Linked DNA regions of Rattus norvegicus. The protein of the gene in region 1 purifies or fractionates together with the protein of each later gene. This does not show direct contact. Links are inferred from orthologs where the notes say so. Each region holds a gene or a part of one and is shown on either strand. Other genes may lie near its edges.

Region 1 (3,635 bases):
GGCACTTTTAAGGTATTGTATTTTTAACTCAAGAACCAATCTGGAGGGGCTAAAGAAATGGTTTAGTAGCTAAGGGGTCTTACAGAGGACTGGATTTGGCTTCTAGTATCCAAGTTGGAAAGCTTACAAGCACAAAATAAATGAAAAAAAAAACAATAACAACAAACAAACAAAACACCACCAATCTGGGCTGAGCATATTAAACCAGCCTAAGGTGAGTGAGTAGGGGGAGCTGGTATGCAAGGCCAGGGCTGGTCAAGGTAAGTGCTGTCAGGAATGGGTCTTCCATCCATTGGTCGTATCGTGTGCCCTTATTACTAACATGGGTTTGAGTCTTAAACATAGGGCAGATGAAATCATTCTGTAGGTACTTATCCTTACTGACACTGGATTAGCACAGCCCAGAGAGAAGACCCCAAGGATATTAGAAAACTGTACACTCATTACAGTTTACAAACATCTTTAACTTACCCAGACAGGAAGAGCCTCTTGGTGGGATCTGCTGTGGCAGATGAGAACCCAGGTTCCAGACCAGCCTGAACCCCAAGTTGGGGGCTGTTGGGGCCCAAAGACATTTCAGCCATTGCCTCTGACACCTCACTGTTGGTCCTGACTTGCTTATTTTCAAGTCTTGCTATTGCAGCAGGAGATGCCAAGCCACTTTCTACTACACCTTTACTTGAAGCCAGTATCTTATCCTCTAGTTCCCTATTTTTATTTGGTGTCTCGAAAAGGTTATCTCCTAGACTTTGCAAATTCAGTTTATCAAACTCTTGAGTCAAAATAGAAACAGGTGGTGGAAGGGCCTCCTCTCCATTGGTGGCCTCTGTTTCCCTTCCATCTGCAGTCCTGCTGTTCAGAGGATAACAAAACCCATTTCTGCTGTTATCTGGGTAAAATCCAACTGCGGCTTCTCCAGGGTCCGCCTTCTGTCCCAAGGAAGGGGAACCACTTTTGGAGTTTTGGAATTTGTCGACTGAGGGCTGACTCTGACTTGGAACTGTATTTTGCTGATTTTTAACTTCTTCCAAGCTAATGTCATCACCCCCATCTAGAAACGCTCCCACGGAGATGGAGTTGCTGTACTTCTTTCCACTGCCTGTAAGGCAACAACACTGCATGTCAGTGTTCAGGATGAGACTATAACCCTAACCCTACAACTCGAGCAAGAAATGACTGCACTGGGTTAGGCTTTGAGACAAGGACCACGTGGCCAGTTACCCTCAAGTTGGTTTGATAAGGTTCTAGAAATACTATGTAGAAGAAGCTCGTGAAAAATTACTTCATGGGGCCAGGAGAAAAGGCTGAGCGGTTAAGGGCACTGACTGCTCTTCCAGAGGTCCTGAGTCCAATTCCACACGGTGGCTCACAACCATCTATAGTAGAATCCAATGCCCTCCTCTGCTCTGTCTGAAGACAGTGACAGCGCACTTACATAAAACTAATCTTTAAAAAATAAATATAAAATAAAACTACCTCATGAAATATCAACAACTTGAGAGTAACACTGAAGTCAGTTGCTATAAGAGAATTCTTCAACATTAACTAATTGCTTATAGTCAAGTCAAGCACATAAAGATGCATCCTGACACTGACTGCCAGCCTGGGGCAGCTTCTTCCATAGCCCACGGACATAGCCTTTTCTCCAGCAGACTCAAGGTTGCTTCTCAGACTCATTTTTAATTTGGTATGACGTGTGTCTACATACATAACATGTGCTGTGTGTGTGTAGGCAGTGGCATGAAACTAGAAGTCATGAGTACTTTGTGGGGTTCTCTCCTTCCACCTTTATGTGGGTTCTAGGGATAGAACCTGGTCACCAGGCATCTGTAGCGAGTGCTTCTACTTGCTATGCCACCTCAAGGAACCAATTTCTACTTACATATATCATATTCTCCCTCCTTCCCTACATTGTTACAGAAAATTTAATTTGTAGGTCAGTACTTCAATTTTAACTTAGAAAGCTTTAAATGACATTAATTTCTATTTTGGGGAAATCAAAGCTGCAGTTATCCCTGGCTCCTCTAGAACCCACTTTGCAGACAAGGCTGGTTTCCATCTCAGAGATCCTCCTACCTGTGCTGGGATTAAAGGGTGAACCACCAGGGCCTGCCTGTTCCATTTTATTTTTGAGACAGGGTGTCTATACTTTATTCCTGGATTGCCTCTTCTTGCATAGATTAGGTTGGCCATATCCTTCCTGCCTCCTGACCTCAGTTCTGGGCATTCACTAGCACACCCGTGTGTGAGGGGCCTCATCCAGCTGGCCAGCCTGGCCTCTAACCTTCCGTGGAGCTGCAGTTTTCAATGCACTGATCTCCTTCCCAGCCCCTCTTACTCTTAGATGCTAATGCTATAGACACTGCTATACTGGGCTAAGACCACTATCTTTAGTTGGACTCATAACACAGTTTTATTTTTGACATAGAATAAAGAGCTGCTAGACCAACAGCAACCCTAAGCTGTTTCTTCAGGGAGGGCGGTGCTCTACGTTGCAAGAACAGAAGTGCAGGAGTGAGGGGAGTTTAGCTAGAGGACATATCTACAGTGAAGACTCTTGACTTTCCAGCTTGTTTCCAATGTGCTGTCAAATTTACTAGGTTTGTTTCATTTTAGTTTTAATTACAAAAATGATAATATGTTAGTTGGAAAACATTGAAGTGAGATGTAACTCTAATGTTGCTATAATCATCTTAATATTTTGAAAATTAGGAGGTTCTGACAGAGCCCTACTGATACAGATGAGGATGGTTACAGCTAACCATTGGATTGAACAAGGGGACCCTGGTGGAGGAGTTAAGAGAGAAAGCTGAAGGAGTGGAAGGGGTTTGCAACCCCATAGGAAGAACAACAATATCAACCAATCAGATGACCCCCCTCCCCCAGAGCTCCCAGGGACTAAACCACCAACCAATGAGTACACATGGAGGGACCCATGACTCCAGCCACATGTGTAGCGGAAGATGTCATTGTCCAGCATCAGTAGAAAGAAAAGCCCTTGGTCCTGTGAAGGCTTGTTCCCCAATGTAGGGGAATGCCAGGGCATTAGTTTGGAGTGGGTGGGTGGGCATGGGAGCATCCTCATAGAAGCAAGAGGAGCGGGAGGGGAAAGGGAGTAAAGGGGATAACATTTAAAATTTAAATACATAAAATATCCAAGAAAAATAAAATTATTAAATTTTTTAAAATCATAAAAACATTTTGAAAACTAACATTATGTAAATATAAAGTTTTTTTCTACATTAATGACTGATTATTCTACATCACTCATTCTAATTGTTTACATCATTCACTACTTTAAAGAATTTTAAAGCATAATTTTATTTAAAGCCATGATTTTTCTGCTCAAGGATAGAACTATTTACTTCCTCAGCCAATCCTCAACTGTAGGTGAGGGTCCCTCAACTATATGCTTGAACACTGGACTAAGCCAACGGTCTGTCCAGAGCCCGGACAGCACATTTATTTTCTGGGAAACTCTCCACGTTGGCATAGAGGTTTAAGGTGTTTCTTTAAAACATTTTTTTAAAATATATTTTATTACGTGAGTGTTTTGCTTGCTTGTGTGTCATGTGCATTTCGTGTGCCCTGTGCCAGCAGAGGTAGAGGGTGTGGGAGCCTCTGGAACTGGAGTT
Region 2 (3,653 bases), on another chromosome or scaffold:
AGTAACAGAACCTCTGGAAGAACAGTCAGTGCTCTTAAACTCTGAGCCATCTTTCCAGCCCCTCAGCTAGTTTCTTGAGGGAAAGTCAACAAACTTAGTTTTCTAGAGACAAAAGCCCCAGACTGGACATGTTCAACAGCTGTGTTGTTGCTGTTCTTGAATCTGGAAGTGTGAAGTCGGGGTATCAATAGCCTTGGTCCTGGTTTCTTCTGAGGCTGCTCTTTTTGGCGCTATTATGGCAAGTCCAAGGTAGAGAATGCTAGAATGCTTTACATTCCACTGGAGGTCAGTGTTTCCTTCAGCAAAGGCAGGGAGGGGGTTGGGGGAAACACACACACACACACACACACACACACACACACACACACACCTACCTTTGAGTTTGGGCAGTATGCTTTGTTTCCCTGACATTTCATTCATTCACATTCCATTCTGGCTCTGGCAGGAGCTGGAGCACACCAAATCTAGTCTTGGGCACAGGTGATCAAAGGTAGAAAAGAATTTCCTGGTTGAAGACATAACTCCTGAAAGTGAGTTCCTGCATATTTAAAGTTTTACTGAACATCCTGTGTTGCATTTATCTATGTGGTCTTTGTCCCTGTTGAGAGGAACCCAAAATTGAGGTTACAGCAGTTGTGCTACTCAGTTACCATCCCACACCTAGCATGGGCCAGAAAAGGCAGATATGGTGTTTGGACTTATTCTGCTCACCAGGTAGATGATGATTAGGAATGGCAGGTTGGGAGATAGGGGTGCTGACAGTGAGGAAGCTGAGTGGTTTTGCTTATTGGAAGCTTGGGTTACTGGTTCGGCTTGAGTTTTTAATGGGCTTGGTCTTTGACCCACAGATACCATCTATGATGAAGATGAGGTCCTCTTGGCTTTGGCTGAACAGCTGGGAACCTTCACCACTTTGGTGGGAGGACCCGAGTATGTGCACTGTCTGCTGGTGAGTGAAAGCTGCGAAGTTTCTTAATCCTCTTTTCTGCCTTGGGGTTAGAATGGTGGTCCAAGAAGCAGAGGATTTAGGAAGGCTGGATGTGACCTCAGAATGGATTACCTTTGGATGTAACTTTCACTCAAGTCAGTAGTGTCATTTAATCTATAGTCGCCATCCATTCTGCAAACTTAACCACACTAGGACCCTGTGGCATTCCACCCATAGGATTTTGAGTTTGGGTCGGGCCAGGTTCTATTATTTACTGGTATGACTTTAAGAGTACTATAGTAAGTATTCACAATTAGATTTTGTGGTTGTCATGGTTGTGTAAGATATGTTATCTACCAGTTTGGGTTGCAAGGTTCACTTGATGGCTGAACCACCTAGAGTACCAGTAGGTTAAGCCATCTCTCATCAGGGACTCTTAGCTAGTAATCATGCATTGTCAAGATTGTTTGCTTGATTGCACCAGGCTATACCATACCTTGCCGTACTGCACCGTACCATACCATACTATACCAAACCATCTGTGTATCTCTGTTGAGTGACAGCTAGAAACACCAACAGAATCCGATCCTGACAGGACCTGCTAGGTACGGAAGGATAACCAAGTGATCTTTTAGATCTTGGCTGTTAGCAGCTTAGGCAAATTGCATAACCTATATACTTCCAATTCCTGCTCTTTGATTAATGAGGATAGTATCAAAACTGTTTTACAAGACTCACATAGAAGGAGTTTTGATCAAAAAAAGGTGAGCAATACAGTATCTGAAACCTAGGTCATGGGTATTAGAGCCGCATCATTAGTGTTTATTGTATATTGAGAGCCACACACACACATGGGCCTCTTAAGAGATCCTTGTAGGAAGCTTGTTATCACAAGCATGGGGCTGGGGAGATAAGAGGAGTCTCCCTCCAGTCAGGCCATGAGGTAGGGTTCCACAACTGAAACAGTAAGAAAAACACTGGTCTCTAACCTTCTGTTCTCATCACAGCCACCTCTTGAGTCACTGGCCACAGTGGAAGAGACAGTAGTGCGAGACAAGGCGGTAGAATCCTTGCGGGCCATCTCTCATGAGCACTCACCTTCCGATCTAGAGGCTCACTTTGTGCCTCTGGTGAAGCGGCTGGCGGGTGGAGACTGGTTCACCTCCCGTACCTCAGCCTGTGGTCTCTTCTCAGTTTGCTACCCCCGAGTATCCAGTGCCGTGAAGGCAGAACTTCGACAGTGAGTTCTCATTCCCATCACTTTACCTAAACCCTCCTCTAAGCCTAATGTCCTTGATGTCTCCCTACTCCCTCCCTGCTCCTAGCTCTCTTCAAAGAGGCTTGTCCTTCACAGTGATCATTGGACACCATACCTCAGCATCGAATTTTCCTTTTCTGCCTTCATGGAAATTTATTCCTACCATTAGTTATACCTGTGGGCTTGGAGCAGAATACAATACAACAAATAGTATCTAGTGTTATCTCCAGCCTGCCCCAGGTTTAGACCCCTCATTTGATAACTGCCTTGTTGTTCAGACCTAATAAGCCAAAGTTTCTGAGTTGTCACTTCATACAACTGGGTTAAAGCCACATATATATATATATATGCACGTGCTGTATGTCTCCATTAGTTCTTAGGAGGCAATTGCTCCTGAAATGGTAGACGAGTCATTTGCATTTTAAACAGTTGTTAGTACTGTGTTGTACTCTTTGACTGAGACCTCAAGTCAGCTTTGTGGGGACTTGCTACTGCCATTGGTCAATTTATAGAGCTGAGAAGACAAAGAGGTCATGAATTGTACAAAGTCACCATTGTCAGCACCAGAATTTACTGCAGACCCAGCAGTGCTCTGTGCTGTGCTGTTCTGTGCTGTGCTATACTGTGACACCAGCTGGTAGGGCTTTCCAGGATTCCAACTCTGGGCCTCCATCCAATTCCAGGTACTTCCGGAACCTGTGCTCAGATGATACCCCCATGGTGCGGCGGGCCGCTGCCTCCAAGCTGGGGGAGTTTGCCAAGGTACTGGAGCTGGACAATGTCAAGAGTGAGATCATTCCCATGTTCTCTAACCTGGCCTCTGACGAGCAGGTAAGCCAGTCACCAACTCTCACCATGCCCTTGCTAGCTGAGGAAGGAATGCACCCTTAAGGCTCAGTGGGCCTCTGCTTCCCTGCCCCTCCCTGTGTTTTCCCAGGACTCGGTGCGGCTGCTGGCAGTAGAGGCATGCGTGAATATCGCCCAGCTTCTGCCCCAGGAGGACCTGGAGGCCTTAGTGATGCCCACCTTGCGACAGGCTGCTGAGGACAAGTCTTGGCGTGTCCGCTACATGGTGGCAGACAAATTCACAGAGGTAAGTTGGCATAGTTCCACAGATGGGAACACTGAAGCTTTCTGAGGGGAGGAGGGAGCAACATATAGGAGATGACATGCTTTATTTTTTAGGACAGCAGTCCGTCCTGAGTCTTAATGGGCAACCGAATCATCTCCCAGAGCCAGTCCTTGTGGGTGATTTGAATCAAAGTGCTGTAATGAGAATGATTTTGAAGCCAAGTTTCAATTCCATGAAAGCATTTTTCCTGAACTCACAACTTCCCTAAGAAAGACACAGCCCCAGTAATAGTTGTCATCAACCACATGTTAGTCAGATCAGGGACAAGTGCTCTTTGTGCCAAGATCCAAATTTTCTTAGCCAAGAGCATGTTGGTTTGTTGTTGTTTTTCCCCT
Region 3 (3,653 bases), on another chromosome or scaffold:
GGCTACAGCCCCGTTCATGATTTGGTTGGTTTGGCGGTGGTGGGTTTTGGGTTTTGTGTATGCCTATTTTGGAGGGAGTCTCACTCAATTGCTCAGGCTCAGACTTGACCGTACTCTCAGCACAGCTCAACTCTCCTGCCTTATGTTCCCAAGTAGCTGGGGTTCTAGGCTTCAGTCACCAAGCCCTGCTTCCCCTGCCTCTGGTCTTCTGGCCAAAGAAGATGTGTGCCCTAATGTGTGCTCTAAAAAACAAAACAAAACAAAACAAAACAAAAACAGTGTAAATAAATGCTTAAGTCTTGGGGCATATATATTATTAGTAACACAAGATGTAATTGGAAATTGTGCCCATATTACTACGTTCCCTGGTTACCATTAGTAGCTTTTTATTCCTATTTTCATGATAACTACAAACATAATATTGTATATTATATCTTTTTTATCAAGAGGGATCTCTGTTTCCAGCATAGTAAGTTTTAAGGCATACATATAAGACATTACACAGGTTTCCTAGTTCACCATTTAGAGGCTGCACAGTGAGCTGATTTAAATTCATGTACAACACACAGAATAAAACTTGAATGTTAGCAGGTCTTTAATCCCTGCACTCAGGCAGCAGAGACAATGGATCTCTGAATTCAAGGCCTCCCTGGGCTAGAGTTAGTTCCAGGACTGACAGCTGCACAGAGAAACCATGAAAGCACAGCACTCTTGAAGGTGTAATGGATACTCTTTGGCTTGCTAGTCTGAGTATAATTTTGGATACTGTAATAATTAAAATGACAATACTTTACCTATACTTGCTAATGTGAATGAAAGTTATTAAAATTTTTCAAGTAATTGAAGTAAAGTCTTTTAGCTTTAAAGTAATGAAATTAATTTAGAAAGATAACAGTAGTATTAGTCATCTATCTGATTTTTAAACTTGGTCCATACATTGGTAGAACTCTTATGTATTTCTTATACTATCCAGCATTCTCCAAACTCATTAGTCTTTACTGTTTTTGAAGTATTTATAAGAAACAAAACAGCCAGCATACACACACCATTGTGACAGGCTATCATTTATGAAGTGTTATCACTGGAAGACACAAACACCTCAGAAATGAAGTAGATAGAACAAGTGGTGCACAGAGTCCTGGAAGGGAATGACAAGCTTAGGTCACACGTGGTGTTCAGTATATGGGTACCTAGCAATCAGATCTGCCTATTGTATGTGCACGTGTGTGCAGACGAGCCTATGGCGGCTGGAGGTTGCTGTCCTAACTCAGTTGATGTACATGTTGATTGGTGAGACGGGTTTTTCACTGATTCGTGTAGATAGCCTGGCCAGAGCCGCCCTTATGTCTCCAGCTTCCCAGCACTGAGCCTCCATGCAGTGCTGTGTGCCCGGCTTCTTACATGGTGCTGGGCTCCAGTCCCTGCGTGGCAAGCCTTGACTGCAAGCCATCTAGAACCAGGTCTGCTTTGTTAGGTTTGGGTTTAGGAGATTTTATTTTTGATACATTTATTTGCAGGGGAGCGAGGGAGGTTGGCCTACGGCAAAATGAAGTTGTCATGTGCTGAGCCATCTGCCAGCCTCCTTAAATATGTCTGTAGGCCAAGTATATGGGGCTTTAAGGAGCATGGAGCTGGTGGGAAAAAATGGAAAACTTGAAAATCCTCACAGATAGACATGATGTGCGACTATGATCCCAGCACTCGGGTTTCAGAGCTTCCGTGGCCATATGTTTTATCTATATAAGTTCAGTAGCCAACCAGATACCGCAGGCACAGAAAGATAAAGTGAAACCGATTTTGGTGGGGAGGGTGTCCTATATCAGTGATTTAAAATTCAGTTAAGAATCATATAGTGCTAAATGTTTTAGAAGATCCATTAACAGTCTTGTCTATTAGGGAAGCATGAGAAACCTCGTCAGACTCAGGAGAAAAGGCTGATGTGCTCACGTAGACCCATTCAGGAGCTCTGGGAAGAACTGCTGACGCCTAAGTTAGCCTGGGCTACATCCATAGCACATACATTGCCCCTGCCAATGAGCTGCTCACGAAAATCCTCGTTATTCTCTTCCTTAGTCTAGTCCTTGAACAGAGGGTAGTTCTGAGAAAAAATTTAAAACGCTTATATCATCCCACTTTATGTCAGAGTCCTGTAGGTGCACTGTCTACAATAAAAGGAACGGAAGACAACTGGGGAGGTGGCCGAGGGTGACCAACACCTTCTTCCTAATTTGTAAACACATCAAGTACTTGTTTGCAACCATGAAGATTGGTGCCTAGATACCTAGCAGCCATGGAGGGCACGGTGCCCGCCTGTGACCCCTCTCCTGGAGATGGGATTCCTGGAGTGAGCTAGCCACAGCAGCAAGCTTTCTTTTTTTTTTTTATTTTTTTATTTTTTTTTTTTATTTCGGAGCTGGGAACCGAACTCAGGGCCTTGCGCTTGCTAGGCAAGCGCTCTACCACTGAGCTAAATCCCCAACCCCAGCAGCAAGCTTTCAAGCAAGAGACCCTGCCTTGGTGAGGAAGGTGGAGGGATCAAAGAGGGACATCCACTACCAACCTTAGGCCTGCACATCTGTGTGCACCCACTAACAGGTCTGCATATACATGCAAACTACAGTTCGGTGTGCAGAAGTGACCCAGTGAGTAAAGTGTAAGGAGAGAAAACCCTAACAGTTGCCCCGACCTCTGTGAGATGTCTTCCACATCATACAATGAGGAAGGAATTAAAGGTGATAAGCTCTATAGAGAAAGTGTGTGAATGTGGGGATGTGCTCAGGAAATCTGAGGAACACCAAAAAGCTCATTGTAGTCAATACCAGAGTCAGGAGGATTGATGTTGAGAGACAGGAGTGTGAGCGGACGCAGTGACGGTGGTGAGCATCCTGTGCTGGGGCAGCAGCAGCCCCACTCTGGAGGCACTGGACTGCATGCAGAGGCCTCAGACCCCGGACCACAGCGGGGGAAAGGAGAGCCCTCAGCACTCGCCGCTGTGGTTACTGCTGGTGACCTGATCCTGCTTTGCGCTGTAGCTCACAAATCTTCCCGTCAGTAATACCATTGGGAAGGAAAGGCTGTCATGGCCGACGCTTGTCACCATTGCTTACTGTTCGTTAATTTAGCAATTACAAGTCAAAAACATGTTTTTCTCAATTTAAAAAACAGATATTCTGCCTCCACGGTGGCCTCTCTCCATCCATAGATACACTGGATCACATAAGAGCCCTGGATCGCTTACAGGAAGTTCCACATGAGGTAAATTTGGCAGTTACTTGTTGGTTTTGATTTTAAGGGAAAAAGTGTAGTCACGTGTGGGAAGGGTAACTCAATTAAACACAACTCATAGTATATATTTGTTCTTTATCCTTGTCCAGGGCCCAATGTGTGATCTCTTATGGTCAGATCCAGATGACCGTGGTGGCTGGGGCATTTCTCCACGTGGTGCTGGCTACACATTTGGACAAGACATTTCTGAAACATTTAACCATGCCAACGGCCTCACACTGGTGTCCCGTGCTCACCAGCTTGTAATGGAAGTACGTACTTTTCCTGCACATTGACCTGCCTCTCACGGTGTCTGCGTCTCTGATAAGGCTTCGTGCGTGACGCAGACGGAAGGAGCCAGAGCCCATTGCCAAGTCCAGAGCTCCATG

The links.
Region 2: the proteins of Ankle2 (region 1) and Ppp2r1a purify together in Homo sapiens (affinity purification with mass spectrometry; 7 studies listed by BioGRID and IntAct, with this or other methods). This does not show direct contact. The link is inferred for Rattus norvegicus from reciprocal best matches to the Homo sapiens genes ANKLE2 and PPP2R1A.
Region 3: the proteins of Ankle2 (region 1) and Ppp2cb purify together in Homo sapiens (affinity purification with mass spectrometry; 4 studies listed by BioGRID and IntAct, counting the BioPlex papers as one, with this or other methods). This does not show direct contact. The link is inferred for Rattus norvegicus from reciprocal best matches to the Homo sapiens genes ANKLE2 and PPP2CB.

What each region holds. Positions count from the first base shown.
Region 1 is NC_086030.1:52,080,703-52,084,337, forward strand, and holds part of Ankle2 (ankyrin repeat and LEM domain-containing protein 2), read right to left. Parts: intron 1,100-3,635; coding exon 472-1,099; intron 1-471. UniProt on the Homo sapiens protein: Involved in mitotic nuclear envelope reassembly by promoting dephosphorylation of BAF/BANF1 during mitotic exit.
Region 2 is NC_086019.1:69,219,643-69,223,295, forward strand, and holds part of Ppp2r1a (serine/threonine-protein phosphatase 2A 65 kDa regulatory subunit A alpha isoform), read left to right. Parts: intron 1-848; coding exon 849-949; intron 950-1,935; coding exon 1,936-2,168; intron 2,169-2,869; coding exon 2,870-3,017; intron 3,018-3,123; coding exon 3,124-3,279; intron 3,280-3,653. UniProt on the Homo sapiens protein: The PR65 subunit of protein phosphatase 2A serves as a scaffolding molecule to coordinate the assembly of the catalytic subunit and a variable regulatory B subunit.
Region 3 is NC_086034.1:65,265,329-65,268,981, reverse strand, and holds part of Ppp2cb (serine/threonine-protein phosphatase 2A catalytic subunit beta isoform), read left to right. Parts: intron 1-3,165; coding exon 3,166-3,255; intron 3,256-3,374; coding exon 3,375-3,536; intron 3,537-3,653.